6 linked regions of the Rattus norvegicus genome follow. The main gene of each other region encodes a partner of the protein of the gene in region 5 in a complex. Links are inferred from orthologs where the notes say so. Each region holds a gene or a part of one and is shown on either strand. Other genes may lie near its edges. The genes, in order: Ripk3, Casp8, Zbp1, Ripk1, Mefv and Aim2.

Region 1 (4,266 bases), on a different chromosome or scaffold from region 5:
GTTTGAATACTTCCTCAACTTGATGCAGCTTGGAGTTTCTGAAGTCTTAGTTTCTGTCGTTAGGAATTTTGTAGTCTGTGTAGAGGAAGTGCATTTTCATTATTTTCGTCATCCTTTCACTCCTTGAGAAGATACATTGGCAGGATGTACGGTCCATGTTTACATTTTCCCCTCTTCCGGTGTGCTTATGTATATTAAACCTCCCTGCTCCTTACACAAAGCTTTTCTACAGCCTTGCCTATCTCCCCAAATTTAAAGGAGGTTCTTTTTCAGGGGACCAGTGTGCTCAGCTGTGACTCCAGTCCTGCGATTTCGGTAGTTATGGGAAGTTTTGGCTGATGTTGCTCCCCTCCCCCCAATCTCTCTGTGACTTTAAAAGTATTTTCCTGTCCTTTTTGTATTTTTTAGTACGTTCTAGTAACGGATGGTAATAACAGCAACAGTATGAATATAGTTAATGCCGCCGAACTATGTATTTTAAATGTGTAAAATGATGCTTTTTTTTTTTTTTTTTGGTTCTTTTTTTCCGGAGCTGGGACCGAACCCAGCCAGGGCCTTGCGCTTCCTAGGTAAGCAAAATGATGCATTTTAAGTTACGCATATTTTACAAGTAAAAAGGATCAGATAAAGATAAAATTTAATGTATCAGAAACGAGATTCAGGGAGTAGGGAATGTAAATCATTTGGCGGGTTTCCTCTCTTGCCAGAAGCCATGAGTTGGATCCCAGCATGTGTGTAAACCAGGAGTGGTGGAACACCCCTGGAATCCTATCATCCCAGCTCTTTGATGGTGGTGGCCAGGGGGCCAGTTTAAGGTTATTAATAGTTACGTAGTGAGTTTAAGGTCAACCTGGGCTACCTGAGACCTTGCCTCAAAAGGGGGCGGTGGTGGTATCTGAAGATCGATTAATGAATATTTAACAGTCTGTGTTAATAAGCGTTTTGGCTGAGTGTAAACATTAAATTTTATTGGGGGAAATAAAAGAAACGTAAAAAAGCTGGGCTTGGTAACGTGTGCCTGTAACCACAACACTTTGCAGATCTAGGCAAGAAGATGAGGAATTGGAGATCATCTTCTGATAACTCCCAAATTCAAGGCCAGCCTGAACTACAGGGTGAGACAGGGACTATCTCAAACAATAGAAAAGAAACGAAACAAAGAAGTATGTATAGACCTGTTTAAAAAAATATCTGGGCCTGGAGAGATGGCTCAGAGGTTAGGAGCACTGACTGCTCTTCCAGAGGTCCTGAGTTAAATTCCCAGGAACCACATGGTGGCTCACAACCATCTGTCATAGGATCTGGTGCCACAGTGTGTCTGAAGAGAGTGACAGTGTACTCATATAAAATAAATAAATCTTTTTTTTTTTAAAAAAGAAAAAACTCAAGTTAATAAAAAAAAAAAGAAAAGAAAAAGAAAAGAATATCTGAATAAGAGATAGATATATTGGCCTAGCACAAGGGAGGCTGAGGCAGGAGGATGGTGAATTTGTGGCTAGCCTGGTCTATGTAGTAAGATTCTGTCTCAAACAAAACTAAGTAATCAAGTAGGAATATGTTCTAAGGAGTTGTTCTCAAATAGGGGTTCATGGGTGGATGGTTTTTATTTTCTTGTACTTTTTTTTTTTTTCTGTTTTTTCCGGAGCTGGGGACCGAACCCAGGGCCTTGTGCTTGCTAGGCAAGTGCTCTACCACTGAGCTAAATCCCCAACCCCATTTTCTTGTATTTTTATGTTATTTATTTAGATGAGGTTAGAAGAGGGTGTCAGATACACTGGAATCGGAGTTAGAGGCAGTCGTGGGCCACCTGCCTCCGTCATTGAGAACTAAACTTGCATCCTCTGGAAGAGCAGCACACGCTCCTAACTACTGAGTCATCTCCCCAGCCCTCTATGTTCTTATTTAAAACTTGATATTCTAATTTTTCGGAGATGAATTTATGAGGTGTGTACTGAATTGCAGCCTCCTGTTCTCCCTGGGGGTCCTATACTGAGATGAGGCTGCTTCCCTCTCCTTCCTGCTCTACTGTAACCCAGAGACTCTTTGGTGTCCGCCTTTCGTTCCTGACTGAAATTACTAGGTCATGGAGTTTGCCTATGGTAAGATTCTGACAGCGATAAACTTGGAGATGTGTGTGTGTGTGTGTGTGTGTGTGTGTGTGTGTGTGTGTGTGTTGCTTTCCGGTTCAGGAGGGTGTTGTAATCCAACAAGGAAGTTCACAGGACAAACTTACTTTCTGTTTCCTTTTCTGCCCAGGCATCATGTGACATTACCATCAACCATGACAAGAGTTGGCCTTTTTCCCCAGACGATATACTTACTGTTAGCGATTCGCCACAGGCTGAGGCTAGACACACTGCAGATAAAGAAATTAGAAACTCCCCAAACTTTTTTGTTTTGGCCTGGATGTAAACAAAGTGTTAAGGGGCAGAAGCTGGAGAAGAAGGGACAAGGCCCGAAACCTTGCGTTGAAAGGCAGATGGCCCCCCAGCACCCCAGGATGGTGGGGTCAGGTCAGCAGCTGAGACCCGGCAGGATGCTTACCTTTGACCTCTTGTTGGGTCTGGATGGCATGGCCCTCCTCCTCTCCCTCAGCCAACAGCAGCCCTGGCAGGGCTGCTCTCCCAGCTCCCTTGGCAGACTCTTCCTCTTTCTAAGGCTTGATTCCCCTGACTCCTTGCCAGCTGCTGCTCCCTACATGGCCGGGACAGCCACAGTGCATGGGACAGCTACTTTTCCTCAGGTAACAGTGACCAAGTCTGGAGACTCTTTCGGCCAGTTAGGCTCAGCTTGGGTCTCTGTCACGCTTATGGAGTTCTTCTGGGGTGCTGTCTTAATTTGCCTTTGGTCACCACAGTGACTCATGGCAATGGCAGTTAGCAGTTGCAGATTCTTACACTCCAGTGGCTTCCCTCAGATGTTAGAGCTAGGTTCCTGTTCCTGTCTTGGGGCCCTGCCTGTCACCCCACTGTCTTTGTGGGGGCCAAGGCTGTTTTCTCTCCTGGATATCCTTGTGTTGTAATTATGTACAGAAGGTCAGGTTGGCCTGAGGTGGGTGCTCTGTCCTTTCCCCGTTCCACAGTGCGTCTTCGATCCAGTTTATTTAAGAGGATATGTTAGGAAGTATCCTCCGTTTCCTTCCCATCCATGTCCAGCTCTCTCCTAACCCACTTGCTCTGTATGCTCAGGCCTCTATGCTGAGAGTCAGAAAGCCTCTTTCATTTTGTTCCCTTCCAGCCATCAAGCCCTTCTCTGAATAAGGGTCTTCCCTTGAGTCCAGGGGATGGAACCCAATGTTTACATTCTCTTCTGTCTTGGTCCCACCCAGTGGCAGTTTCGTGGTGCTTTGAGGAACCGGAAAAAGAACCTGTTGTTATATCTGGAAAAAACAAACAAACAAACAACAACAACAACAAAAACAAACAAAAACAAAACAAACAAACAAAAAAAACCCCGAAGTGTTAAGGAACCTTTTTTTTTTTTTTTTTTTTTTTTTTTTTTCTGGAGCTGAGGACCAAACCCAGGGCCTTGTGCTTGCTAGGCAAGCGCTCTACCACTGAGCTAAATCCCCAACCCTGGAACCTTTTAAAAAAAAAAAAAAGGTGGACTGCTCTTCCGAGGTTCTGAGTTCAATTCCCAGCAATCACATGGTGGCTCACAACCATCTGTAAGGGGATCTGGTGCCCTCTTCTGGTGTGTCCGGAGACAGCTACAGTGTACTCAGACAAAATAAATAAATAATTCTAAAAAAAAAGGTGGCAGCACAGGTCCGTTGTCTCTGCCTTAACTGATGGAAAATGTACCTCACCAGAAAGGGAGAAATATCCCTAATGGGGGGGGGGGCACCACAAAACCAAAAAATCCAAAACCAAACCAAAACCAAACAAAGGAAAAACAAGCCAAACAGCAACAATCTGCCACTTTGAGGGACTGTGCTGAGCTTGGAGAAGTCAGGATTTGGGCAGAAAAGAGATACAATGTAAGTTTCTGCCTGGAAGCAGACCTCAGCGGCTGCTGCCCACCTTCCCTTCTCCTGGCAGCGTTCTTTTGAAGGCTTCCAGTGCTGAAAGTATATCCTTCTGCAGGACTCCATGCAAGACAAAGCCTCTTGTTTTTCTGTGCCGAGCTGAGATGACTTCACAAAGTTACTGGGTTATGTGTCACCCGTGCTTCCTGTCTCAGAAAAGTAAAGCCCTCCCTCATTCCCTCATAGAAAGGAGTGTGGAGTGTGTTCTAGCAGATTCTACTCACAGATCCTAGGCCCCT
Region 2 (4,742 bases), on a different chromosome or scaffold from region 5:
ACAATCACACCACGTTGCCAGGGTGTACTCAGGGCTCTGTTCTTTCACTGAACCTTCATTCATTACCCTCCCTCCCACCCCACCAGGGAGAACTCATATGGCAACAGTCTGTTTATAAACTCCTGGAGTCCCCTCACAGCCCAGCCCATGCCTTTTTTTCACTTTCATTAACCTGAGATTTGTGAGGTGCAATGTTTGAGGAGCCCCAGACTACAAACACATCTTATAGGCAGGGCAAAACTTTGTGGGTGGGCTGACATCCCCATCCTTCCACTGGAAGTCATGCCTGGCTATAGGAGGTGGCCACTTCCAGGCAGGGTGAGGTGTTTTTGTGCTGCTTCCCATAATAACAACCCTTCCCACCTACTTGTGTACGCAACCCTTCTGTGGCTTTAAGTGTGAGCCACCATGATACACACAGATGTGTGAACCTGCCTTCTTATTAATTCAGGCCTGCACCCACCCTCCCAGCGCCCCCCCCCAGCTCCTCTCCCCCCCCTCGCCACCAGGGCAGGGGTAATGCAAAGAATTTCCGGTTTATTTCAAGAAGTGAAACGCCCCCCCCCCCAAAAAAGTGAGCACACCTCTAGATTTTTCCATTTCCCCTCCCCTTGCCCAGCACAGGGGCAGTCTGGGTGTTCCTTTCCCGGAGAAGACCAAGACTCTCTTAGGAGTCATCATTACCCACAATCCTGTCCCTTACAATTTGTTACATCAGGCAAGAGCATGTACCAATGTGTACTTACAAAGTTACCAAGTTTACTTACTTGGGGAAAGCGTAAATGCTTTGTTGTTTTTTCCAGAGCCCAGTCCTCCTGAGCTGGTGGAAGTGGCTACCTCATAGCCTGCTGGGATCCTTGTCTATTCTCCTCAGGGTTCCTAGACTCATTATTTTAAACCTAAGGTGTTTTAACTTCCTTTAGCAAGAAAGAAGAGGAAGAAAACTAGAATATTTAAGAAGACAGGAGCCTAGCATAACCGTCTTCCTAGACCCTTCATCCAGCAGTGGATAGAAATGGATTCAGAGACCCATAACCAAACATCAGGCAGAACTCGGGAGTCTTGTGGAAGAGTGGGGGAAAGGATTGAGAGTCTGAGGGGTCAAGGAGATCACAAGACGACTTACAGAGTCAACTACCTTGCACCCACGGGCGCTCACAGAGACTGAACCACCATCCAAAGAGCATATAGGACTGGACCTAGGCCTCCTACACGTGTAGCACATTGTTCAGCCTGGTCTTTTGTGGGTCCCCCAATTACTGGAGCACTCTGTTGCTTGCCTTTGGATTCTTTTCCTCTAGCTGGGCTGCTTTGTCTGACCTCAGTAAGAGAGGATGCGCTTAGTCCTGCTGTGACTTAAAGTGCCAGGTGGGGATGGGGGAGAAGGGCAATGGGAGGGTGGAGTAAAGGAAGGGGGCTTTGATTAGGATGTAAAAAAAATAAAAAAAAATAAATAATGAAAAAGCAAAAAATAAAACCAATCAACCAAACAGAGCTCTGATGACTCTTCCAAACACACAGGTCCGATTCCCAACACCCACACGGCAGCTCACAACTGTCTGTGACTCCATGTCCACCTGACTTAGTGCCCTCTTCTGGCCTCTGCAGGAAGCCTATATGCAAATGCTGTATAGACACATATGCAAGTACAGTGCCCGATTATACACTAAAACTTAAAAAAAAATTTTTTTAAAAATCTCATTACCAGCCTACCAGAAGGTAATGTTTCACATTGAAAAATGAAAAATTTAAATTACACATCGTAGTGGTTTGACTGAAAAATGTCCTTCCTGGCTTATGTTAGTTGAACACTTGGTCCCCAGGCTGTCTTGGAAGATTAGGACGCTTTTAGAATGCAGAGCCTTGCAGGAGGAAACACATCACCCGGGGACAGACTTTGAGAGGTTTGGCCTCACCCGACTTGCGGGTCACACTTTCTGTTTTCTGTGTGTGTGTGGCAGATGTGAATTCTCAGCTTCCTGCTCCTGCCACCGTGCCTGCTTGCTGCCATGTTAGCTCTGTCATTACTTGCCCTCTGGAAATGTAATCCAACATAAACTCTTCTATAAATTGCTTTTGGTCATGGTATTTTATCACAGCACAAGCAAAGTAACTACTACACATACGTAGCACATTGTTCAGCCTGGTCTTTTGTGGGTCCCCTAGTAACTGAGTCATATTCCCCCAACACTGTCCTCTCTCGGCTGAATTCCTGCAGCCAAATTCCTTCTCCTCATCCTGTCCCCTTCTGCACCCTGCTGCATGAAGATACATTATTTTATGGTTCAGCAGTTTTCTCTGAATTATGTACTTAGCCCCCACATGTCTTCATTTATTCTGCAGTCTCGCCCGTCACTTCACACATGCCACAGAGGCGTGTCCCCTGGGCCCACACTTCCCAGGCCCCCCACCACAGCCTTTCTACCCACCTGTAGGCAGAAACCTGGGCTTTGCCCAGAACCTGCAGCTCCCTCACCATTTCCTCTGGGCTGCTTTTTAGGACTCTGCTCAGCAGATCCCGCCGACTGATATGGAAAAGCAGCTCCTTCAGGAAGGACAAATTGTCTTCCTCCAACATCCCCTCTTCCTGCAGCCTCTGAAATAGCACCAGGACATCATTGATGGACTCCTGCTTCTTCTGCGGGATGTGGTCCAAGCACAGGAACTTGAGGGCAGCCAGTTCTTCGTTGCCCAGACGTTCAGCAATATCGTAAAGACAACTGTGGAAATCCATTCTTACCAAGGGGTAGGAGAGCTGTAACCTGGGTCAACACAAGTTGCTAATGGTCAGGTGAGGAAGTTAAGTGTCAGCTACCAGCTTGTTTCCTGTCAAAAGCTTACTTTATCTACCATATTCCAGACACTTTAGAGGGAAGAAATGGAGAATAACATGAAACAAAACAGGAAGTTCCTGCTTCTTAGAAACTTTTGTTTAGGAAGGTAAATATACAGAAAGCCACTGGTCACAGAGTCACCTCCTGGGTGCCATATCCATCTTGGAAATAGGGATTCCTGTGGGCAAGAGACTTTTGGGGAGGAGACAAGAAAAGCAGTTCTTAAAGGAAAAGTGCATACAAAATGTGGAGACAAATTGCTCCAGTAGAGCCACCCCACAGGGGGCTAGAACGGATTGTTGGTGACGCTGCAGGGAGGAGAGTAAGAGTCATGGCTCGGAACATGGCCTCTTCCTATATCAAAACCTGGCTATACCACTGGACACTCTGCCTTCCTCAGACTCTTTGTTTGTAAAATGAGGGGTAGAAGGCTACCTTTCTCCTGAAGCTGTGAATCTGAGATAACATCAAATAACGCTCAGCTACTAACAAACACTAAAACCACGACAACCTCCAAGAAGGAGAAACCCCTGGTCCTGAGGGTTCTCAGTTCGTTTCTATTGCTATGGCAAAAACATCATGACCAAAAGCAATTTGGCAAGAAAGAGTTTCTTTACTCGTATAGCTTATAGAGTCCATCAGTCAAGGAAGTCAGGGCAGGAGCCTGAAGACAGAAACATGTAGAGAATGGAGGAGTGCTGCTTACTGGCTTGCTCCTCATAGCTTGCTTTACCTGCTTTCCTGTGGCACCCAAAACTATCGGTGGCACTGTCCACAGTGAGCAGGGCCTTCCACATAAATCAGGATCAAGAAAATGCACCACAGACCTGTCCACTAGAGGCTTAAAAATTCCATTAAAAAATGACCATGTTGGGGTTGGGGATTTGGCTCAGTGGTAGAGCACTTGCCTAGCAAGCGCAAGGCCCTGGGTTCGGTCCCCAGCTATGAAAAAAAGAGAATAGAAAAAAATGACCATGTTAACAGCAAGGATTTAAAGAAAAGAAAGAATTCTGTATCACTTGACAACAAGCCAAGGAAATTGTGAGGCAATGTCCTACTTGTTCATTATAGAACCAAACTCTCTTACCTACAGGAAGTAACCCTAAAGGTCCCCAAAGAAATGAAATTTGACAAATGGATGTGTTCCACTTTACAGAGTTTGGTAAACTCAGATTTATACATCATACAATTGACACGCATTCAGGATTTCAATAGACAACTGCCTTAGCTTCAGAAAAGGCTGACTCCATAATTACACATCTCATACAAATTAAAATGAACAATGGTCCAACATATGTGTCTAATCAGATGAAACAAGTTTTTACCTAGTATAAAACATGTTTCAGGCATGTCACATGATCCTACAGGGCTAGCAATTGTAGAGAGACCTAGTCGTATTCTAAGAGATACTTAACATTCAGCCCTCAGAAATAGATTACATAGTGTTTTACTAACCTTAAAATTTTTAAATGCTGGGGGGGGGGCCGGGAAAAAATTTTTAAATGCTAATGAACCAAAAACTATGGTTGCTGAAAGACATTAGATTGTGGAGCACTGCTGAACTAGACCAGTCTATTTGTTTTAAGAATTCTAACATCAAAATGAAAAACGAGAAATGTAATCTACTAGGGGAGAGGTTCTGCTTATATTTCCATAGGAAAAGAAAAGCTATGGGCTCCTTCTAAGTAGATAAAAATCAACCATGACGAAGGGAGACCCCCTGAAGACCTTGGCTACAGACAAGAAGGAGACTGAAAAGATCAACAAGATAGGTGATGTGTGTGTGGTGACGTTTGTTTCTGTACAGAGACTCTGGGACCAGCTGAGACTTAAATGTCTATATACAGCCAATAACACTTTGGGTACAAAATTCTCATGACTTATTATTATATACCATCCTTTAAGATG
Region 3 (5,542 bases), on a different chromosome or scaffold from region 5:
TTGTAGAATGCCATTTACCCTCCCATGCTCACCCAGCTTCTTGATATATGGGGCCCAGGACAATGAGCCTAGGAATGGTGCTGCCCACAGTGGTCCGTGTTCTCTCGAATCAGTCAGCAATCACGATATTCTCTCATGGTGTGTTCACAACCGATCCACTCTGGGCAATCCTCAGTTGACAGATGAAGCTACCCACCCCTTCCCTCATCCCCATCCCCATCCCCAACCTTTACTCCTCCTTCCTTTGAGGAGTGCACTCGTGATAGGTAGAATTCCAGCAACCTTTCTAAAACTCAAGGCAAACCCACAAACAGGCTATAAATGGCAGAGCGACAGGATAAAAAGAACCTGGGTGACTGACAGCACCAAGTCTGGGGTACCTGCCAACCATTTGCAAGCAAGAGCAACAACAAAAACAATAACAAAAAGGCACATCTGCACCGTCTAGTCTACGGCCACAGGTGCTGACGGTAGGCCCAATGTTGAAAATTAGCTTGGAATCTTTTCTTTTCTTTTTTCTTTTTTTAAGAAAAAATTTTTTGAAAAACAAATTATGATTTATTTATTGGGGCTGGAGAGATAGTTCAGAGGTTAAGAGCACTGAATCCTCTTCCAGAGGCCCTGAGTTCAATTCCCAGCAACCACATGGTGGCTCACAACCATCTGTAATGGGATCTGATGCCCTCTTCTGGCCTGCAGGGTATATGCAGATAGAGCCCTCACATACCTAAAATCAATCAATAAATAAATCTTTCATAGTCTTAAGATTTATATATTATGTATAGAGTACTCTGCGGGTTGAGGGACATTTTTAGAGGGGTCGCCTAAGACCCTTGGAAAGCACAGATCTTTACATTACGTTACAGTTACATAACAGTAGCCAAATCCCAGTCAGGAAGTGTTGACGAAGGTAATTCCTATGGCTGGGGAATCACCACAGCGTGAGGAACTGTATTAAAAGGTTGCAGAGTTAGGACAGTTGAGAACCGCTGACCTAGGAGGCCCTGACTCCTTCCAGGTCTGCTAATGTAAGGAACAGAAGGGAAGACCTGTAAAGGATGCTCAAGAAAGAAGCGAGGAAAGCGGGCATGTCCTGAAGCCCGGTTAAGTCTGAAGCCACCTTGGCCAGGGATCAAGCAAGACCCCCTGGGCAACAGGCGGTTGGTGAGCAGGCACCACCTAGTGGTCAGTCTCCAAAATGACATCTCTAGGGAACTGGGGCAATGTCCCCCAACAGGCCAGGTTGAGAGCTTGTTTAAAAGCCACCTTATTTATTTTGGGTGCCACAGGCAGTGCAGTTTCTGTTTTCCTTGGCTGGTTCTGCAGGCACTGTTTTTCCTCCCTGGAAGTCATAAAAAGCACTTGGAAATGTTAAAGTTTTCCCAAGCTGTGCGGATCTGGCCTGATGGTGGCCTGCCTGGTGACCTTTTCAGGCTCCGAGAGGTAAAGCTGACTGGGGACCTGCTGCCAGCTGCTTGCTTTGCAGACATCACCTCCTTCTGGTCTCCATTGACTGTTCCTGTCCCGCCCTGTGCACCAGGGACCTGCACACCAGACAGGTCCCCCCACCCTGTAGCTGGGACCCAGATTCAGGGATTATTATGGGCTGAGTGGTGAACACAAGGCCATCTCTGTGAGTCTCCATCCCCCTCTCCCGTAATATGGACAGAGAGGTGTCTGAACTGTTCTCGGGCCGCTGAGAATTTATGAAAGTGAAAGGAGTCTGTCTCTTCTTCTAAAACATATGTGGGTAGACAGTACTAGACCAGGCAGGAGAGGCACCGTGGGTGCCTTTTCCTAGATCACCATCTTCCTCCTCACAGGGCTTTCAGAGTCCTCTTCAGGTCTCACTCTTCCCGTGGGCAGTCCCACCCCAGAGGCCAAGACCCCGCTCTTTTCTGTCACATGGTCTGTCCAACTCCAGCTTCCTCATCCACCCTGATTTTGACAATTCTTTCATTCGAGAATCACACCAAAGTTTCATTTTCTGTTTCTTCAGAAAGCCAGAGGGCGGGGAAGGGGTGCAGCCAGATGGGTATTAGTTTCCGGGGTGGTAACAGCTGGTGTCTGCAGGTCCAAACAAGCATTCTTTCTTGTGGACTCAGAGCCCCAGGCCTGGCCACAGTGCTGGGACCTGCCACCCCCACCCCTAAAAGTGCCCCACGGCTGCTGGGAGCATGGCGGAGGCTTCTGTGGACCTGGGCACGGGAGGTAAGTTAAACTCTTCCTTCACCACCTTTGGGTCCTGGGTGAAGTTTCTACGGCTCCTGGCTGTTTCCTTAGCCCAGACGGCAGCAGGACTCTGAGGTCACCACAGAGAAGTCAGCTTGCTTCAGGGATCCTGTGCCCCAGATCCTTCATGTCCTCTTACCTCATAGATGAGGTCACCAAGGCCTGTGACAGGCCTGGGGCTCTGAACTGTCATCTCGAGAGAGGACTTTGCTTTGATAGGAAGATGTGACTTTGATTTTGTAGTCAAGCTTTTCTCCTGCCCTAGTCAAATCCTTGCTGCAATCATGTAGTCCATCTAGGGGCTTCTGGGCTATGGGAGGCTACGGGGTGCAGGGCTGTGTGAGGCTGCGATGCTGTGGACAGGATTTAATTTACTGCTTGTCTAGGTCCTTCTGGGTTATCCTTTCTTATTTCAGACCTGGAAACATACTAGAAGTTGCTGCTCATAAGCTATCAGGGAGGGGCCAGGCCAGGTGCCAGTTTCTTTCCTGGGCAAAGAAGACCAGGAACTAAAACTCGCCTGACTCCTGTAGTTTCCTAACACTACTAACCTGTCCAGCCTTACCAACTCCAGTCTTCTGCTTCCTAACGTCCCGCTTTCAGACCCTGCAACCAGTCCTTCAAGCCCACCCTTTGGGGAAGGCTTTGCCTCTCTTGTGTGTCTTTAGGGGTCAGTGGGGGAGGGGAGGGGAGGGGAGCCTGCTACACGACACACTCCCCAGCAAAGGTTTCTCAAGGCAAGGCAAAGCCAACCCAGGAATAGAGATGCTAAGTCCTCTAATTCCAGCACTGCAGTGGGGGTGGATCTGGGGCTGAAGCAGGAGGATTGCTGTGAATTTCAAGCTAGCCTGAGCTATATGGTAAGACTTTGTCAGGAGAGGAAAGAAAGAAAGTTAAAGGCAGACACACGGACAAGCAGACGAACCTGCTGAAAGGAGCATGAGGTGGGACTTGGGGGACCCTCGGGGTTAGGCACAGAGGAGGCTGGTTGGCTAGCAGAGGCCCATCGAAGCTCCCGGTGGAGGGATCTGGGGGCAAGCTTTCTGGAGTTGGTGGCCATCTGGAAGATGGCTTCAAGGCCCAGGTAAAAGAACTGAGCTGGGTTTTCCGGGGCTCCTGCTCTATCAGGCATGGGAGGAGAGACCCATTTCTCTTATCTGCTGGACTCCTGACCTGGGAACACCCACACCATAGATGTGGGTGCTGAGCTGGAGAGAAAGGGAGTCCCTGGCCGGGCTGGGAGAGACATCAAGACACCACGGAGGGACTTCAGGGCCAGACTTGGTTTCACACCTCTCCCTCTTGCTCCATCGTCTGAGGGCTGAGGGTTCCTACCTGCTTGACTTCCACATAGTACACAGGGCAGGCTGCATATGACTTTACCACTCCAGACATCTATCTGTGGAGCCAGCGTTCACCTGACTGACACCCTCGCCTCCGACTGGTATCCTCGCTTACTGTCTGCTTGGCCCAGGTCACGGGTGCCTTCTCTGCTCTAGGGTCTCTCCGGAGATCCCTCCTGTGCCCGGAAGCTTGGATGCAGGGTGTCCCCGGGGACTAGGCTTGACTCAGTTCTTCTCTGTGTTCCTCCCCGAGACAACCTGGAGCAGAAGATCCTGCAGGTGTTGAGTGATGCTGGTAGTCCTGTGCAGATCGACCAGCTGTTGAAGAAGTTACAAGTGCCCAAGAAAATCCTCAACCAAGTCCTTTACCGCCTGAAGAAAGAGGGCCGAGTGTCCTCGCCGGCGCCAGCGACGTGGTCCTTAGGTGGAGATGGGGCTTCCGGAGATGGGGCTCCCGAGATCCCTGAGGACTCCGCTGCCCAGCCTAGCCTTGGTAATCTGTCACGTCGGCAGAGCAGAAGCCCCTCCCCCCACCACCACATACACCCCTTAAGAGCCATCTTGTCATAGGCAAGCCCAGATTCAGGCTTGGCTTCAAATCTGAGCTCGGCCATCCCCTCTCTGTCTCTGGATTTCTCCCGGCCAATGGAGCTAATGTTGAGCCTAGGGCTTAGCCATAGAAGGCTTGCAGTAGACAACAGCAGGGTCAAAGACACAACCCAGGCAATAGTCACAGCGAGAGTGAGGGCTGACGGTAAGTAAGGATTCACTCAGAGCCTTCGGGTGACTTTGAGAGCCACGGAGAAGAAAGGACCCACAGTTCCAAGTGCTGACACTGCCCCCGCCCCCCCCCCCCCCACACCAGAGCCATCTTGCCTTCATTCAACCCTCAGACAGAGACAGGAAAGGAAGCAGCCTCAACCTTCAACAGACAGCATCCATGACCCAAGCAGATCGGAAGCCCTGGGACCCAGCCTAATGTGCTGTCCCCCAGCTCTCCGGAGAAACTATTCTGTTTTTAATGGAGCAGGGCATCTCCTGTCTTCAACTGACACATCCTTCTTCCAGTCCCAAGACCCTAATGAGATGTGGGTGCAGCTCCAGAGAGTCCTGGCCTGCATCTCGGTGCATGCTGGAGGCCTCCCCAGACCCCTGAAGCTCCATGGGAGTGTCAGAGGCCAGACTCACTGTTAGAAGAGAGAGGTTCTAAATGGTGAGATGTGGGCTCTGACACCCCTGCGTCAGTCTGCGCCAGTCTCTAGGGTGAGAGCCTCATCCGCTTGGTCTCCAGAGGACCACTGTCCCCAAGATGACCCAATATGTGCTTCTGACAGACCCTCGCCATGTCCCTGGGCTTCACGAGTATCCCAGGCCACAGGCAGTAGGTGGTGGGTAGATGCAAGCCCAGGGCTCTCTTCCCACGAAGCACCTGCCTCCTGCTTTGCAGAAGAAAGGATATTAAGATTCCTGGAGACTAAAGGGCCCCAGAGGGCCCTGCATATCGCCAAGGCTCTGGGAATGACGACGGCCAAAGAAGTGAACCCCATCCTGTATTCCATGAGGAATAAGCACCTTCTGACCGTGTCTGACACACAGATGTGGACCATCTACCGCTCAAGCCAGGAAGGCCAAGAGCGAGGTATGAGAGGTCAAAGTCGGTTTGGGGAGGTCGGGGGTCAAGGGTCAGGTTGGGAAGGTCAAGTTTCAGGTCAGGAAGGTCAAGGGTCAGGATTAGGTCACTGAGGGTCAGGTTGAAGAAAAAAATCAAGGATAAGGATTGGATGGTCTAGGGACAGATTTTTTTGTTGCTGTTGTTGTTGCAGATTTTCTTTTATATTTGTGCATCTTATTTTATCTGTACGAGTGCATTGCCTGCGTGTACACGCACCACATGCGTGCACTGCCTGCAGAGGTTAGAAGAGGGAATCGACCTGGCTGGAATCTGAGTTACAGATATAGCTGTGAGC
Region 4 (4,742 bases), on a different chromosome or scaffold from region 5:
CTTTGGCCTACTTCACACTCCTAGGTAGTCTAGGGGATGGGCCAAATGCTCGTGTCTCCTTCCTTTTCCTCAACTGTAGGGCCAGCCTATATGCCAGAATTAATTTCTAAGGATGCCAATAAGGTGCCAACTAAGGAGGCATATAAGTGAAAGAAGCTAGAAATAGTTAGGCCAAGTACTTATCAACAGACGAACACACACTCACAAAAACTATCTACAGAGTAGAATATTTTTCTGCAATAAAAAGTACATTTTGACACATTCTGTCACATGGATGGACCTTAAAGACAGCTGGTAAAATACAACAGATACAAAATAGAAGTATTGTGCAATTTTTGCTTACATGAGATACTTGGTGCAGTCAGAGTCAATAGAATAGTGACTGTTAAGGCTGGAGAGGGGAGAGAGGAAAGGGGAAGTGGAGCTAACACTTCCTGAGCACAGGGTTGTGCTCTAGGCTGAGGGATCTTGGAGATGGATAGTGGTAGGTATTGTTGAAAATGGAATGGACTTCACACCACTAGACAGTATACTTACAAGATGGAAAGCATATGTGCTACAATAACAACGCTAATTCCCCAAACTAAAGAAGGAAATGAAGAAGCCCATGCTTTGTGGAAGGGTAGACCTTTTCATTGACAAGTTGTTTGAAATCTTTCCAGTCAGTTTGAAGCCACAGGTGAAGTGGTACTCAAAGTATGTTCCTAACTGATGGCTGACTCTCCTTACCAACTTCTAGATGTGTCTGTGGGGGTGTGAAGCAGGGAAAGCCCACCCTGAATGTGGGCAGCAGCATCCCATGGGCTGAGACCTTGCACTGAATAAAAGGAGAGAGCAAATGACTGCCAGCATCTATGTCTGCCTCCTTTGTGACTGTAGATGCAGTGTGGCCAGCTGCCTCGGGCTCCAGCTACTGTGACCTCCCACCATGCCATGGTAGACTGTACCCTTGAACTGAGCCAAAATATACCTTTTCCTCGAGTTGCTTTGTCCTCTTTGTCTCAGCAACAGGAAAAGAAACTAAATTACCAGTGTCACCTTGCTGAAGAGTGCCATCCTGTCAGATGCAGCCTAAATAGGCATACAACCCATTCTTACCAAAAAATGTTGGCCTGTCTTCTGGGTTGGTCTGCCAACACCGCTCCATGAGGCTGATGATCTCCCTTGGACAGAACTCAAGGATGTCCTCCACATTTGGCCTGTTCCCAGAGTTTATGCAGACCAAGAACTGCTCAGTACAGATGACATCTGCAAAGAGGGGTGAACTTCAGTTAGGGCTCAGTCCCACTCTGCTCTCAAGCAGGAAGATGACAGGACCTGGATAATGCTGCTATTTTGTCTCTACCTAGGGTATGCTTTTTCCATGGCTGTCTCATTCCATAGAGTAGCAACCTTGTAGCAAGGAGCTGATGTAGTCTACTACAGAATGATAGGATGATGTTTTGACTTTGCAGAAGAAAGACAAAAAATCAGAACAAAGCTACCTTTTCACAGAACAAACAGAATAAATGGGTAAAGTCATAGAATACAGAGGCAAATACAGGATGGCCAGGGCTTTAAGAAGCTCAGATTAATGAGAGTGACTTAAACATATACATGATAACCGATACTCTAGAATCAAGAATGAGGGGTTTTGGTAAAAACAATCAAGATGAGAACAGTTAAAGTTGCTTATTGTGCCATTCAGTGCGGGTGGTAAACAACCTGTACTGTGCTGATAAACTTGGCAACTTTTTCAGGGGATGCTATTTTGGAGGTTCCTGTGGTATACTTGCTGGGTCTAACAGATCTGTGGATGTCTTGGTCATGGTCAGAGACTAAGGTTTAAGAGTCACCAGATCCCTGATCTATTGGTGTTGGTAATCATGAAGAAGTCATAGAAGGCAGTCATTTCTTTACACACATGGAAGGATGACTTTTCCCTGTACAAACAACGACTTAGTTTCCTTTACATTCCAGCTGACTGAACTGCCCACAGTAAGTAATGAAAAAGGCTCGTTCACAAATAGAATCAAAGTATGGCTGTCCCCACTCCAGGAAGAATACTGAGCTGAGCTATATTATAAAGGAGTCTACTCACCCCATCCTAAACTGGGATGACTAATCCAACAAAGGTCTCCTCGGTACCTAATATTTCAGGCTGGTGCTTCCCGCCCCCCGCCCCCCGTGGTGGGTATGTGTGTGTATCTGCTAAATAAATAGCAGTGAATAAATTAGATATGGGATTGGCCTTTATGACACTACAGAAAGCAATTAAATGAACAATTATAGATTTTAACAGAATTAACTAAAGGGTATCAGTTTATGTTTAAAAATGATATTTAAAAAATTTAGTGTGGGAGTGTTTGTGTACATCAAGAGACAGAAAGAAAAGAGAATAGAGGGGAGAGAGAGAGAGAGAGAGAGAGAGAGTAGGAGATATATCTGCATGCTGCAGTGCATGTACAGAGAAGTCAGAGATCAATTTTCAGAAGTCAGTTCCCTCCTTCTCCACATAAGTCCTGGAATTTGGACTGAACTCAGGTTGTCAGGGTCAGTGGTAAAGGCCTTTACTCACTGAGCCTTCTTACCAACCCTCATCTAACGGTTTTCATTACTATCAAAGTCCCATGACTATACATGTCTTACTCTCATAGGGCTCCTTATTAGCAAATATTGCCCAAAGCACAATGGCGAAGCTGTACACATCTGACTTCTCTGTGGGCTTTGTGTTGATGTCAGTCAGGTGTTCCGGTGCCATGTAGTAGAGGGTGCCTCCGTTCTTCTTGGTGACGCTGCTGGCCTCCCTCTGCTTGTTGTGTTCCTCCTTAGTCAGTTTGCTCCATGTCTTAAAGGAAGCCACACCAAGATCGGCTATCTGGAAGAGAAGAGGGGCCAACGGAACTCATCACGAAGGCTTATGAGTAAATCAAACTGGATTTTCATGAATTCAAGTCTGGGGCTTATCCAGTACATGTGTGGCACAATCAATTTTTCAGTTGCTGCATGGGCCTATCTAGAATAGTTACCTCTCAATAGACTCTCAGAATGTTCATGTAAAATGCTAGCATATCAATTATTTTTTAAAGTTTCTTTTAAACATTTATTTATTTATTTATTTTTATTTATTTTGAGGGGGCGCATATTTCAAGATGTGTGTGTGAGTCAGAAGACAACTTGCAGAAGTCCTTTCGCTCCATACTGGGATTGAACTTGGGTCTTCAAGCCCAGCAGCAAAGTATCTTTACTAGCTGAGCTATCTTGCTGGGGCCTTGGCATCTCAATTCTTAACCAATAACACTGGGGCAAGACAACAAAACTGTGTTTGTGCTAATTTCTCATTTACTTTGCATATTTTTTTTTTTTGTTTTGGTCTTTTCTGGGGAAGACAGAGACTGGTTACCACACCTTTCATTTGCCCAATAACATCCAGAGGACCGTGGTTGTTTCTCTGAGCATCCCAAAGCCACCCTGAGGGTGGGACTGTTGCTGCTACTTGTTTTGTGTTGGCAGTTTGCACCTAAGAGAAGACAGGATGGAGAGAAGGAAATCGAAACACACATAAAGGCAGAGAAAAAGATAACCAAGTCAGACGCAGCAAAGAATAAAGTGGCAAGGGGAAATGGCAGAGGAGGACAGTTACGGGACAATCCAAGGAGGTGGTCCTCTTCTGCCTCTAAGAAGCATTTAGGGAGGAGCTAGATAGAGCATGTGCCTACATGAAATGCACAGATTTTAACCCAGAACACAAAGGATAAGTTCTTAATTGAAAGAAAAAAAGACGTTGGGATTAACAGCCGTCTGAGACATGAATGGCGTCTGATGCGGATCTTGTAGGCAGGTCCTGGTTCTTCCCCAGTGCTAAATGTTTTCAGGATCTTTTTGTTTCTTGTTGGTGTAGGTGTGGGGATGAAACCCAGAACTCTGGCCCTGAGCTATCTGGTCCCCCTTCAGGTCTCCAGCTTGGATTCTAGCTACCAAGACTAATTATGTGTGCTGTTGCTTCCTCAGTTACATGTAGCTCCTGAATAGGCTGCATTTTCCTTATTACCTCTGCTATGATAAAAAGAATTTTCAAAAGTAAATTGACTCCTTAAATGAAAATAGACATAAACAGGATGTCAAAGCAGAAGTCTTTGTCTTGGAGAGCCAGGACTGAGTCTAGGACCAAAGATGTGCGAGACTAGTTTTCTCCACTGAACTATGCCCCTTGGTCCACAAAGTGGAGGATTCTGAGGCCAAAATGGTTGACTTACTACTGCTTTTAAGCCTTTTCTGAATTTTAAGAATAGTCTCCACACACTTCTATACTCCCTTTCTCTCCAGGGTGGAGAAGTCTCAGTCACAAGATTTCCTGGGAAAGATGATGAGCAGATAGCCCATTCCAGAGGGAAGGTAGCAACCCTTCAGTGTTTCCATTTCCAAATCTAATCAGAGGGAAACAAAACCCAGGAACCAGGGATGAGATCTTTTTCATCGTATCCTTCAATCCAGTCAAGCCCACACCTTGTACTATGCTAGCCTTGCAAGCAGCACCGTGCTCCGTGCTGAGCTAGGTCCTCTTTTATCATGATCAACTATAGCAATGGGTTTCTAGTGGAAAATCAGACTACAATCACTCAGCCTTCTCAACGTGTACAGACTGTGGATTACCTTAATGTGAAAGTCACGGTCAACGAGGATATTTTCAGGCTTCAGGTCCTTGTGTATTACACCTTCGTCATGTAAGTAGTGCATGCCTTCTATGATCTCCACGATTATCC
Region 5 (4,742 bases):
CCTCTCAAGCCAGGAAGTAGTGCCATTAAGGCCTGGAATGGGACTTGATTTCAATGACCCACAGTGTCTCTTGGGCTCGTGCCTCTTTGATGAGGTCTCTCAGAAGCCCAGAACACCTAGCACCATCCAAGAAAAGACCAGAAGAACGTGAGGGTGGTTGCACTGTGGGGTCAAGCAAGGCTTCCATCCTTGTGATTAGAATTACCATGAAGGAGAAATGAGCCTGTTTACTGGCGCCCTAGGACTGGGAGTCAGAGAGCAGTTTGCATCCAGGGAGTCACAACTCTTGGAGACTGTTAATGGAGATCTTCCCTTTTTTCTCTCCTAGGACATTGGAGCCACCTTGCACAGGTGCAGAGAGATCCCATGGTATCCCCTTGGGTGTCTAGCAGAAAGCATTTGGATGATACAGTCTTAGGAAGGAGCTGGGTCTGTAACCCAGAGCTCTGTTTCCTGAAGCTTCCTGAGGCCATCATTCCTGGATTTGTGTGGGAAGAACAAAATGGGAGTCTGACCAAGTGGGGGTGGGGAGGGCAGGAATGGATTACTGGGAAGAAAGAACGTACCCCAGTCCTGCCTAACCCAAGTGGTGCTTCCCTAAGAAACCTCTCGGATGGATGTTTTTTGTTTCGTGACAGGGTTCCCAGAACTGCCTCTAATCTCAAGCACTTTGGGAAGAGGGGTGTCCCTGGGGGTTGATTTGAAAGTGGGTGAAGCCAAGCAGGCAGGGGAAGAGAAAGGTGAGCTAGAAAAGGCTACATCCCAGAGTCACTTAGGAACTTTACAAAATCCTGGTTTCCAGGCCTCAGCCACAGTGACTAAATCCCAGTCCCGAGGCTGGGAGTTGGGGGTTAGTGGGATTTAAAAATGATTTTCCCACTAAAATATGCAGATCATAAAGTCTCAATTATTTTATGCCTGCAGTGCACTAATGCTAATACATCTGTGTTGGCGTGCACCTGCTTGCACCATCTAACTCCATAACCTTTTTGTCTTCCCACACAAGAACTCTGTACCCTTGAACACTAACTCCTCATCCTCCCTCCCCTGTCTCCTGGCAACCACCAGTCTGGTTTTCCTTGCTTATTAGGTTGACTGTTCTAAACACCCCATGTCGTCAGAACCATGCGAGTTGTCCCTTAGCCTTCAGCTTGCTTTCATGCCACACGTTTTCACAGCTCATTCGTGCTGTAACTGCGTCAGAATTCCACTCTATTTAACTGCCAAGAGACTCCCCTTTGGATGCAGCTACCACAGAGTATTTGTTGATGGACATTTGGACTGTTTCTGCCTTTGGGCTATTGGGAGCAGTGTTTTTATGTGCACAGTACAAGTGCTGCTCCAGACTCTGCCTTTAGTTTCTCAGATTTTTGCACCTACTGTATTTCCGCCCCATCGAGAGATTTTTAAGGAACTTGCACATTATTTCCAGTGGTATATGTGTCATTTTATATCCCCTCCCGAGGTGCTCATTTCTCCACCTCTTTGTTATCAACTTATAACTTCCCCTTACTGTTTTTCATTGCTGTTATAATAGCCACTCTAATGGGAGTGAATTGGCATTCGTTGTTCTTTTTTTTCCCTTTCAATAGAAGTAGTAAAGTATAATTCATTTGACACAGAGAACTCTGACAGCAAGACTTACTCAGTTTTTTTTCTTTTCTTTTCTTTTTTTCGGAGCTGGGGACCGAACCCAGGGCCTTGGGCTTGCTAGGCAAGCGTTCTACCACTGAGCTAAATCCCCAACCCCGACTAACTCAGTTTTAAGGCTGCCATTTAAACTCACTGTGATCTTTATAGCAGTAGTTCAAAGATGCCCAGTGTGCAGCTGAAGGTGAGGACCAGTGTCAGAGTTTTGAGTCTAGGAAAGACTTCTTGGCGTCACCTGAGCCGGGACAGTCTGTCACCTCATGGGGCTGCAGACGACATCTTGTCCTCTCTGGCTGACAATCTCTTGTCTCTAGGGCTGAGACGATGACTGCCTCTGAGCTGTTGGGCATTCCTCCAGGCGTTAAAGAAAAACTGCACCTGCTCTACCAGAAATCAAAGTCCGCCGAGAAGAATATGCAGCGTTTCTCAGGTCAGCGAGCTCTGAGGAAGGTGGAAAGTACCCGCTCGTTTCCTCCTTGGGGTTCAGGCAGCTCAGATTCACTTCCCCACCAACAAATCGTTTCTGACCCCGCCTCCAGCTTCTTTCTGTTCTAACTCGTTCACTCACTCAGTTTCTTCCATTCTCCTTCCTCTATTTTAGAAATGCTGGGCTCCGAAATGGCATTCAGCGCTTCAGATGTAGCAACACGGGAAGGGTGCAGGCCTAGCACAACCAAGGCCCAGGCCTTGATCCCCACCGTTCACCTAAAGTGTGATGGTGCACACACACAGGATTTCGATGTAATACTTTGCGCAGAGCTGGAAGCTGGAGGATCAGAACCTCAAGATTACCTTCATCCGTCGTCAGCTCAAGACACACCTGAGCTACACGAGATCCATTCTCAGAACAACAAAAGAAAATTTAAATCTTTCCTGAAGTGGAAACCTTCCTTCGTAAGTATGGTGGTAACGAGCTCATCAAGGGTTTTTGTAATTATCCTTTATCTGTTGCTCTGGGGAATGATTCAGAAGGTGGAGGGGTGGGGATACACCTAGAACTGAAGCATAAAACAGGTCATAAAGGGCTTCACAGCTCTGCTTGGTCCCACTGTGTTTGCCTTGTTGATCGAAGTAACAGCTTCAGTGTTTAGGGTGCCTGGGAGATCTTGGCTGATGACTAACATAGGCTTCAGAGCCCTAAGAAGGAGAGTCCTCATCTTTCCTTGTGGGGAGAGTATAATTCAGACCTCCTGAATGGACATACTTAAAACTTTATTCCACCTTTCTTTCCCCCCTCCCCCTCTGTAGTCCAGAACCGACAGGTGCTTAAGAACATGCTGGTAAATGCCTAAATCAAGGCAAGTACTGGCTTTGGTACACCGGGTCCCTGTATGTTCCTGTCCCCTACCGCAATCTCAGTAAACTCCCTCTTCCTTAGATTGGGAGCGCCTTGGGAGAAGCCCACACATCCCCATCCCAGCTAGGTCTTCTTCTTCCTGCAGTTGTCGTGACTGGGACCTAGCAGCTGTTCACCCCAGCCTCATCTTCTGTGGTGATACGAAGAGTGCACGGACCTGCTGCCTGACACTCTCCAGAGGTTCTAAAGTTACATCACCATGCTGGGGACTACTCCTGTCTTGGACTCCAGCGGCTGTCACTGGGAGGTGGAGTATGGAGACAAGACAGTTCAGAGTCCCAGGAACTTGCAACGCTCTGGCGAGCAGGAAGGGGACTATAACTCAGTGGAGAATGGCTCCTGGTGGTAATAATAGCAACGCAACAGGAAGGCACATTTCTCCAGCCTGTGAATGAGGGTGGCCCCAAGCAGGCGGGCAGCTTTCTAGACTACACAGCTAGGAGCAACATGACATGTACCTGGCCTCTGGCTTCTCCCCTCCAGTTCCTGTCAACCTGCCTTTAACCCTGGGGACATGAAGAACAACATAGCTCTTTGGACCCTCAGTCCTGCCAGTGACCAGATACTTCACCGAGCGCCCAACACTGTGCCAACATTCTGGCTTATGCCTCACATTCATGCACTCGGAAGTCATTAAAAAGGTGTCAGCTGGTGCAAGGAATGGAATGAATAGGAAGATAATAAACTGAGAGGCTGAGGCAGGATGGTACCCGTGAGTTTGAGTCTAACTGGATGGATTCGGGTTACTCTGACTGGGGTCCAGCCGTCAAAAAGAAAAAACAATATTGTACTTGTATTATTTAGTACTATTATTGCTGTAATAAAATATTCTGACAAAGCAACTGGGGGAGGAGGCATTTATTCTGATTCATAGTTGAAGGGTTAGAGCATCCTGGCAGAGGGCCACATGGCAGGCACGTGAGGCAGATGACCACATTGCATCTGCCATCAAGAGGCAGAGAGTGACGGCCTTCAAAAGCCTGTCTTTTCCCTTCACTATGCCGTCTAGGACTCAAGCCTAGGGAATGTTGCCACCCACATTTATAGGGTAGATCTTCCCTCCTCGACCAACCTACTCAAGGTACACTCTCACACACATGCCCAGGCACTTGTCCCATGCGTGACACTAAATCCTGATGAGTTGACAACATTAGCCAACACAGTATGCAAGAAGCACAGTAAACCCTAGCAGAGGAACTCTGATACTGTCGATCAAAGGCAAAGGGGCCGTCCACCGCAACGGCATCCCGTGGCGGTGAGAAGAGGAAGTGCGTGGCTGTTTCACAACACAGCCAGAATTGGTACTCTCAGACGTTCTTGAGACAGAGGAGCCATTCCATGTTCCTTCCCCAGGGAAGAATATGCCCATCATTCTGTCTGCCCTGGTCTTGAGGACACATAAAACCTACAGAGAAGAAAAGTAAGCAGACTCCCAAGAGGAGCATGCTCTCCTTGCTTCGTTTGTTTTCTTAAGGAAGCATCTTTCTGGCTTTAAAGGTGATGTCTTTACAGGAACCAGCACATTTAAGCTTCCGTATCATGTACTGTATTTCCAATGCTCTCCCTCCCACCTCCAGGCCCAACCGTGGTCCAGAGACCCTTACATTCTACTAGATCTCAGACCTGAAGAGAATTACGTATCCGTTTCCTTTCGGGCAGTCTGCTGCTATTCCTATTATTATAAAATACCCTTTTGCAACTTGTCTTTTAATTTATTCTATTTGTTGTCTTGTGT
Region 6 (5,444 bases), on a different chromosome or scaffold from region 5:
CTGTTCTGGCTGCTATTTTCTTCTGGGATTGCTATAGCTCTCTGGCTGCTTGCTCTCATCTTGACTTTTCTTACCTGTAGTTTGTTTGTGTTTTCTTCTGCAAAGCATTTTGCCTTTCTCCAAGCAAATGTTTAGATATATGCAGGGTCTGACAGTTGTGTGTTAAAGTCAATATGAGGAGACATTGTGGATATTATGGGATGAAAGTCAGAGAAACCTGGAAAACCCTTGAGGAGAAGGTGGAAAGAGCTTTTTCCAGGATTGGGCAGTTGGAGCAGAGGCACAGAGAAAAGAGTGATTCTATTCTGCAACTGAATCTCTATATGAATTATAGAGGTTAGGGAGATGGCTTAATTAGTAAACTGCCAGCTCCCATGTTAAAAGATGGGCACAAAGGACGCACTATAATTCCAGAACTGGGAAGACAGATGGGTAGATCCCTACAGTTCTCTGGCCTAGTAACCCAACCAAATCATTTGAGTTCCAGGTTCATTAGGAGAAGACCCTGTTGCAAAGAATAAAATGGAGAGCAAATCAAGGAAGATACCCCACCCTGAACTCTGGCATGCATACGCAGACAGACAGACCAACGGACAGACGGACACACACATGTATGTCACACACACATACACACCAGAAATCAATTAATCAGTTAATTAGTAAACAAATAGAAAACAGGCTTGAATTCCAGAGCAACCTGCTTACAACAACTAGATGCAGTTCTCAAATATTTCATGTGTGCAGCTGACAGGACTGAATTTTATATTATATTTAATTTTAATTAAAAACAAACTCAATTTGGTTTCTAGAAAAATCAGTGTGATTAAAATTACTTGAATATGTAAACCTACATTTTCAACTGTAAATTTTGTGAATTTTAAATATATATAAATATAAATGTAAATATAGATGAAAATTTACCACCAGAAATTACGTTCTCTGAGAACAAAATATATGCCAGAGTTTTGAAGACTCAGTAAATATTTTGGATACTTTGACTTTAATCAAACATATTGGGCTGCTGTTATTGGGTTTTGCTTTTGTTTTTTAAGGTAGCTACTAGAAAATGTAAGTGTATTTATTTATATTATATTTCTATTGGGTGATATTTTCCTGGTACAGAGACTACATGTGTTAGAATTACATGTTTTCACTTTCTAGCTCTGTGATGGGATCAAAGATGTTTTCTAGTACTTTGATGAAGAATCGTCTGATGGTCCCTACTGCACAGACTCCACGTGAGATGTGGCTAAATTACATAAGTATGCAATTCATAAGGTATACCTGACACCTGGTGTGCACAACATATGTTATTATTATAGTGTGAAGTTTATATTTATCATGCTATGGGGAGAGCAAGCAACTAAAAGAGACTTTGAAATGTCAGACAGCATTCTTCTTCTTAGAAAAGCCTCACGACAAACATCCACTCCACCAGACTCTGGACAACAGATGCCTAAGGCTTTGTTCCCGTGGTGAGCAGCTATATATCAGGTCACTACTTGATGTCGATTGAACGGCTTCTTACAAATCTCCAAAAATCACAACTACAGATGGGTGTCCAGATTTAACTTAGAAAAATGCCCTAGTAAAAGGTGGTACCAAGACAGGAGTATATAAATCAGGCTCTGACCCTAACTTGTACTTATCTCATGGGGTTGATTCGCCATCAGTTAAATATGGACAGCAGGAGATGGTACTATGAGGATTTAATATGTAACATGGCAGAGAGAGCTCTCCAAACCACACAGCGCCGTGCCAGTACCAACATGCCTTCCCCTGAGAATGATTGCTGCAGGTCGGGCTGCCCCCACGACAGATTATGCAGTTGCGTCATGGGAGTATCCCAAAAGACCCAAACTTTGCTACACTCCCTATGAACTTGTGATTAAACAGCCAACCCGTATGTCTTAAAAACTTGCAAAACTCCTTTTTAAAATAAAAAATGCAAAAGAGACGCATTTGAGAGATAAACCAGGAAATCAACAGCCGTTGTTCACAAATCAGCTCATTTTGTCCAGTCAGGCATCTTACAAGTCTGAGAGGAAGTGAGTCATGAATCAGACAAGATTTCTTCACTATTTCCAAAACAAGTATAAGTATGTATAGCACATAGTTTTCATTAAGAACGTGGGCTGGGCCTGTGTGGTGTAACTCAAGTTGGTAGTGACTGTGTCTCTTTGAGAAGGTAATATTTAAACAGTTGTGGGGATAAATAGAAAGAGCAAGTCTCATATCTTGGAGCTAGATTCAGGGGAAGGTATACAGCCTTGTCTATGTACTAAATCACACAGGGCCTTCCACTTCAGAGTGGCTATGCTGTGTGCTCATTCACCTCCCTGAAGCAGTAAACTCTACGTTACAGCATTTCCCCAAAACCCACATCAGAAATCATTTTCTGGGTAATGATAAATGGCATGTCCCCGCGAGATGTATGAATGGTACTTTTGAAAACACGACTATCACAGTAGGCATCATTCTGTATAAAGACTAATCTTAAGCGAATTGTTTAAAAAGAAGAAAACAGACATGGAAAAGGAAACATCATATGAAGGGATATAAGACGGTCACACAAGATTCAAATATCTCAATGGACAGAACACACATGAATTAGACTCACAGGTTTAAAAGGAATGCTAAACTGGATTAAAACCCACTGTGGCTCCTAGGGTGTTTACAAAAGATACATTGGGGAAACTGAAGTGCTGAAGAGTCGCGAAGCAGAAATGTGGACCTATGTATCAGGCACTAAGCACAAAAGCCCTAGTTAGAACAGCTCTATTAATATTAGTCAGAGAAGACTCTAAGACAAATAGTGCCATTAAGGACAGAGTTGCTATACAATGATTAAATGTTAAAGTCACTAAGGCAAATATAACAGTTCTAAACAGTATGCCCCTCACTGAGTAAAGCCAACAGCTGTGAACAAAGTCTGACAGTTCTCCATGAACAAATGACAAATGTGCCTTGAGGATCGGGACTTACAAAACAGTTCCTTCGATAACTAAAGTTTTAAATAGCCAAGAATAAAATAACATAAAAAGCAAAAAGATTTAAAAACATAATTAACAACTATGTTCTGATCCATACTTAGAAATATCTACCACGCTTTCAGTAAGGGCACAAAGGTTATCAGTGACTTTCAAAGAGTCGTTACTGTATTAGTTTCTTTTCTGCTTTGATAAAATGAACATCAGCAGCATAGGGGAGAAGTAGATTTTATTTTTACTTACAGGTCCATGAGGGTGGAGTTCTTCAGGCCAGGGAAAACATAGTAGCCAGTAAGAAAAGCGTGGCAGCAGGCAGGACAGGAGGCAGGCGAGTTGTAATTCTTTCTCATACAGGAAGCAGAGTTACAAGTGAGACAGCCTATCACCTCTCACAGCCCGCCCTCAGTGTCCCACTTCCTCCAATAAGGTTTCTCCAGTAAGTTCTACTTTGTGAAAGTCCCAAAACCTTCCCAAGCCACCAGCAGGTATACAAACCTCTGCAGATATCATAGGAACACTCTTTCCCCCAAATTCTAGGGATTTCACTACGGAAGTGGGAAAGAAGTGGGATCCAGTTGGAAGTAGACCGAAATGAATTTTCTAATACCTAATAAAGTAAAGGAAATGGAGATTAAAAGCATACATAATTTTTGAAAAAATGCCGGGCCACTTGAACATCTGGGATTATGGAATAACATGATCTGCTTGACTTGACATGTCTTCGATGGGAAGGTTACTTAGAGTTTCAAGCTCCATGCTTTCAAGCTAATGTGACATCATAGGCTTTCTGCCATGCCGTTATTCTTAACTTATATCGAGAAATTGCTCTCTACCCCCTATGTTGCTTTTCCCCTTCAGCTAGAAACCAAAAACCCTCTTCTAAATATAAATCCATGTCAATAAAACACCTACAGACCAACACACCCAGAAAATCAGAGTTCCTTTTAGGCTCAGTCTGGGTCAACCCTCTGAACAATATGTTCTAATTCCTGCCACAACCAAATGCACTTTCTTTTGTAAAGGTCTCAGTTGTAGTACAATAAAAGATAACGTGTGTTCCACAGTCAACTGAGGGTTTAGAACCAGGCTCCCTGCAGCCTTATTCTTTTCTGGAATATAATCCTTCCTTCTAACCACAGAAGCCCATGACTCCTCTTTCCTCCTAATTTACTGATTAGCAAAATGGTCCTAAAGCTTTTTCCGGAAAATTTCTGACATACCTTACTTACCTCCCTGGATTTTTCTCTCTGCAGCAGCCTAAGTCCTCAATTCGGGGACTGGTGTAAATCCTGATAGTTCAAACCATTCACCTCACAAAGATGTTCACTATTAGTGGTAGGACATGAAAATCATGAAAATCAGGTCTTGAGAGACAGAAAGTACTTACTGCCTCCTTTCACTTTGAAACTTGGCAAGTCTTAGCCCTGTAGCTGAGTCCTAAGTAAGCCCTGATGCTGGGGCAAAATAATTATATATTAAGGCTCTGCCCAAACAAAGTCTAGTTTTCAGTTTCCTTTTCCTGACAAGCCTCAGCAGAATTTCTCCTTCAGCTGTGAGGTCTCAACCAGAGGTATTTTAGACATAGGGAACTCCATGAGAGGTAATTCCTGTATTGCCAGGGAGCTCATAGCCTAAGGGGCTAACACAGCCCTGGGCACAGCACCCACCCACTTGCTGGTGGTTGGTTTTCTATGATTTAAATATCAACACAATAAAAAGGTTGGGTTCTGCATAATCAGATCTCTTTTATTACCCAGGATTGTCCTAGCAGCTATAGTGCACATTACTTCTTTAAATTGGCATGCCCCGTTTACTCAGTGAGAGGCTGGTTTTGTCCTCCTGCTACTTCAGAGTGTTATTTGTCTCACCGTGCCCTCCAAGGCTTCTTGCCTGGGGATGTCTAGTTTTCCTTCTCTGTTACAGGGAGGGCAAAACAGCTCAAGAATAAAAATATTATGTCCTTAAAAACTAGGTCAATTATTTCCAACATTTTTTTTTTAACCATGGTGTATCAGGGCCTAAAGTGTGACTTTCAGTCATAGAAAGAAAGTTAACGGCCTTAACTTCCTGTGTTGGTTTCTGCTGGGTGTTGTAAGCATCTGCTTCAATGCTGGTTTTCTTCTAACTGTAGCCCTTCGTTCTTCTAGTTGGAAACCTCACCTTCATTCTTCTCTGCCCAGGACTCTCTCTATTGGAAACGTCAAGGACTACCCCAAAGGGGGCATCACCAGCTGATCTCCACACTCAAGGGATGATGAATACCCCTTTAGTATTGTTCTGTTTTTACGTTAACTTGCTGACTAATAAAGTTACTCATTCAAAACCGAAGGTCCATTCATCACAGCTCGTTCTCTGGACCATACAGTTGTCTCGTGTTACGGCTGGGTGTATTGTTTTCCGTATTCTACTTTAGTATTAGTTGTCGCTGGCAACCTCTTACTATACTAAGTGTAA

What was found.
Region 1: Mefv (region 5) and Ripk3 share a complex: the UniProt entries of both Homo sapiens proteins name them as parts of the AIM2 PANoptosome complex. The link is inferred for Rattus norvegicus from reciprocal best matches to the Homo sapiens genes MEFV and RIPK3.
Region 2: Mefv (region 5) and Casp8 share a complex: the UniProt entries of both Homo sapiens proteins name them as parts of the AIM2 PANoptosome complex. The link is inferred for Rattus norvegicus from reciprocal best matches to the Homo sapiens genes MEFV and CASP8.
Region 3: Mefv (region 5) and Zbp1 share a complex: the UniProt entries of both Homo sapiens proteins name them as parts of the AIM2 PANoptosome complex. The link is inferred for Rattus norvegicus from reciprocal best matches to the Homo sapiens genes MEFV and ZBP1.
Region 4: Mefv (region 5) and Ripk1 share a complex: the UniProt entries of both Homo sapiens proteins name them as parts of the AIM2 PANoptosome complex. The link is inferred for Rattus norvegicus from reciprocal best matches to the Homo sapiens genes MEFV and RIPK1.
Region 6: Mefv (region 5) and Aim2 share a complex: the UniProt entries of both Homo sapiens proteins name them as parts of the AIM2 PANoptosome complex. The link is inferred for Rattus norvegicus from reciprocal best matches to the Homo sapiens genes MEFV and AIM2.

The regions. Positions count from the first base shown.
Region 1 is NC_086033.1:33,259,226-33,263,491, forward strand, and holds the start of Ripk3 (receptor-interacting serine/threonine-protein kinase 3), read right to left. Parts: upstream 2,801-4,266; 5' UTR 2,545-2,800; intron 2,100-2,544; exon of another isoform or gene 1,964-2,099; intron 104-1,963; exon of another isoform or gene 76-103; 5' UTR 1-75. UniProt on the Homo sapiens protein: Serine/threonine-protein kinase that activates necroptosis and apoptosis, two parallel forms of cell death. Necroptosis, a programmed cell death process in response to death-inducing TNF-alpha family members, is triggered by RIPK3 following activation by ZBP1.
Region 2 is NC_086027.1:67,784,878-67,789,619, reverse strand, and holds part of Casp8 (caspase-8), read right to left. Parts: intron 2,763-4,742; 5' UTR 2,735-2,762; coding exon 2,430-2,734; intron 1-2,429. UniProt on the Homo sapiens protein: Thiol protease that plays a key role in programmed cell death by acting as a molecular switch for apoptosis, necroptosis and pyroptosis, and is required to prevent tissue damage during embryonic development and adulthood.
Region 3 is NC_086021.1:182,418,653-182,424,194, reverse strand, and holds the start of Zbp1 (Z-DNA-binding protein 1), read left to right. Parts: upstream 1-2,177; coding exon 2,178-2,211; intron 2,212-3,828; coding exon 3,829-4,068; intron 4,069-5,022; coding exon 5,023-5,214; intron 5,215-5,542.
Region 4 is NC_086035.1:31,063,165-31,067,906, forward strand, and holds part of Ripk1 (receptor-interacting serine/threonine-protein kinase 1), read right to left. Parts: coding exon 4,633-4,742; intron 3,500-4,632; exon of another isoform or gene 3,388-3,499; intron 2,858-3,387; coding exon 2,629-2,857; intron 1,249-2,628; coding exon 1,099-1,248; intron 1-1,098. UniProt on the Homo sapiens protein: Serine-threonine kinase which is a key regulator of TNF-mediated apoptosis, necroptosis and inflammatory pathways.
Region 5 is NC_086028.1:12,299,489-12,304,230, forward strand, and holds the end of Mefv (pyrin), read left to right. Parts: intron 1-328; coding exon 329-351; intron 352-1,964; coding exon 1,965-2,080; intron 2,081-2,251; coding exon 2,252-2,544; intron 2,545-2,898; coding exon 2,899-2,934; 3' UTR 2,935-3,092; coding exon of another isoform or gene 3,093-3,101; 3' UTR 3,102-3,845; downstream 3,846-4,742. UniProt on the Homo sapiens protein: Involved in the regulation of innate immunity and the inflammatory response in response to IFNG/IFN-gamma.
Region 6 is NC_086031.1:88,396,504-88,401,947, reverse strand, and holds the start of Aim2 (interferon-inducible protein AIM2), read right to left. Parts: upstream 3,327-5,444; 5' UTR 3,234-3,326; intron 1-3,233. UniProt on the Homo sapiens protein: Sensor component of the AIM2 inflammasome, which mediates inflammasome activation in response to the presence of double-stranded DNA (dsDNA) in the cytosol, leading to subsequent pyroptosis.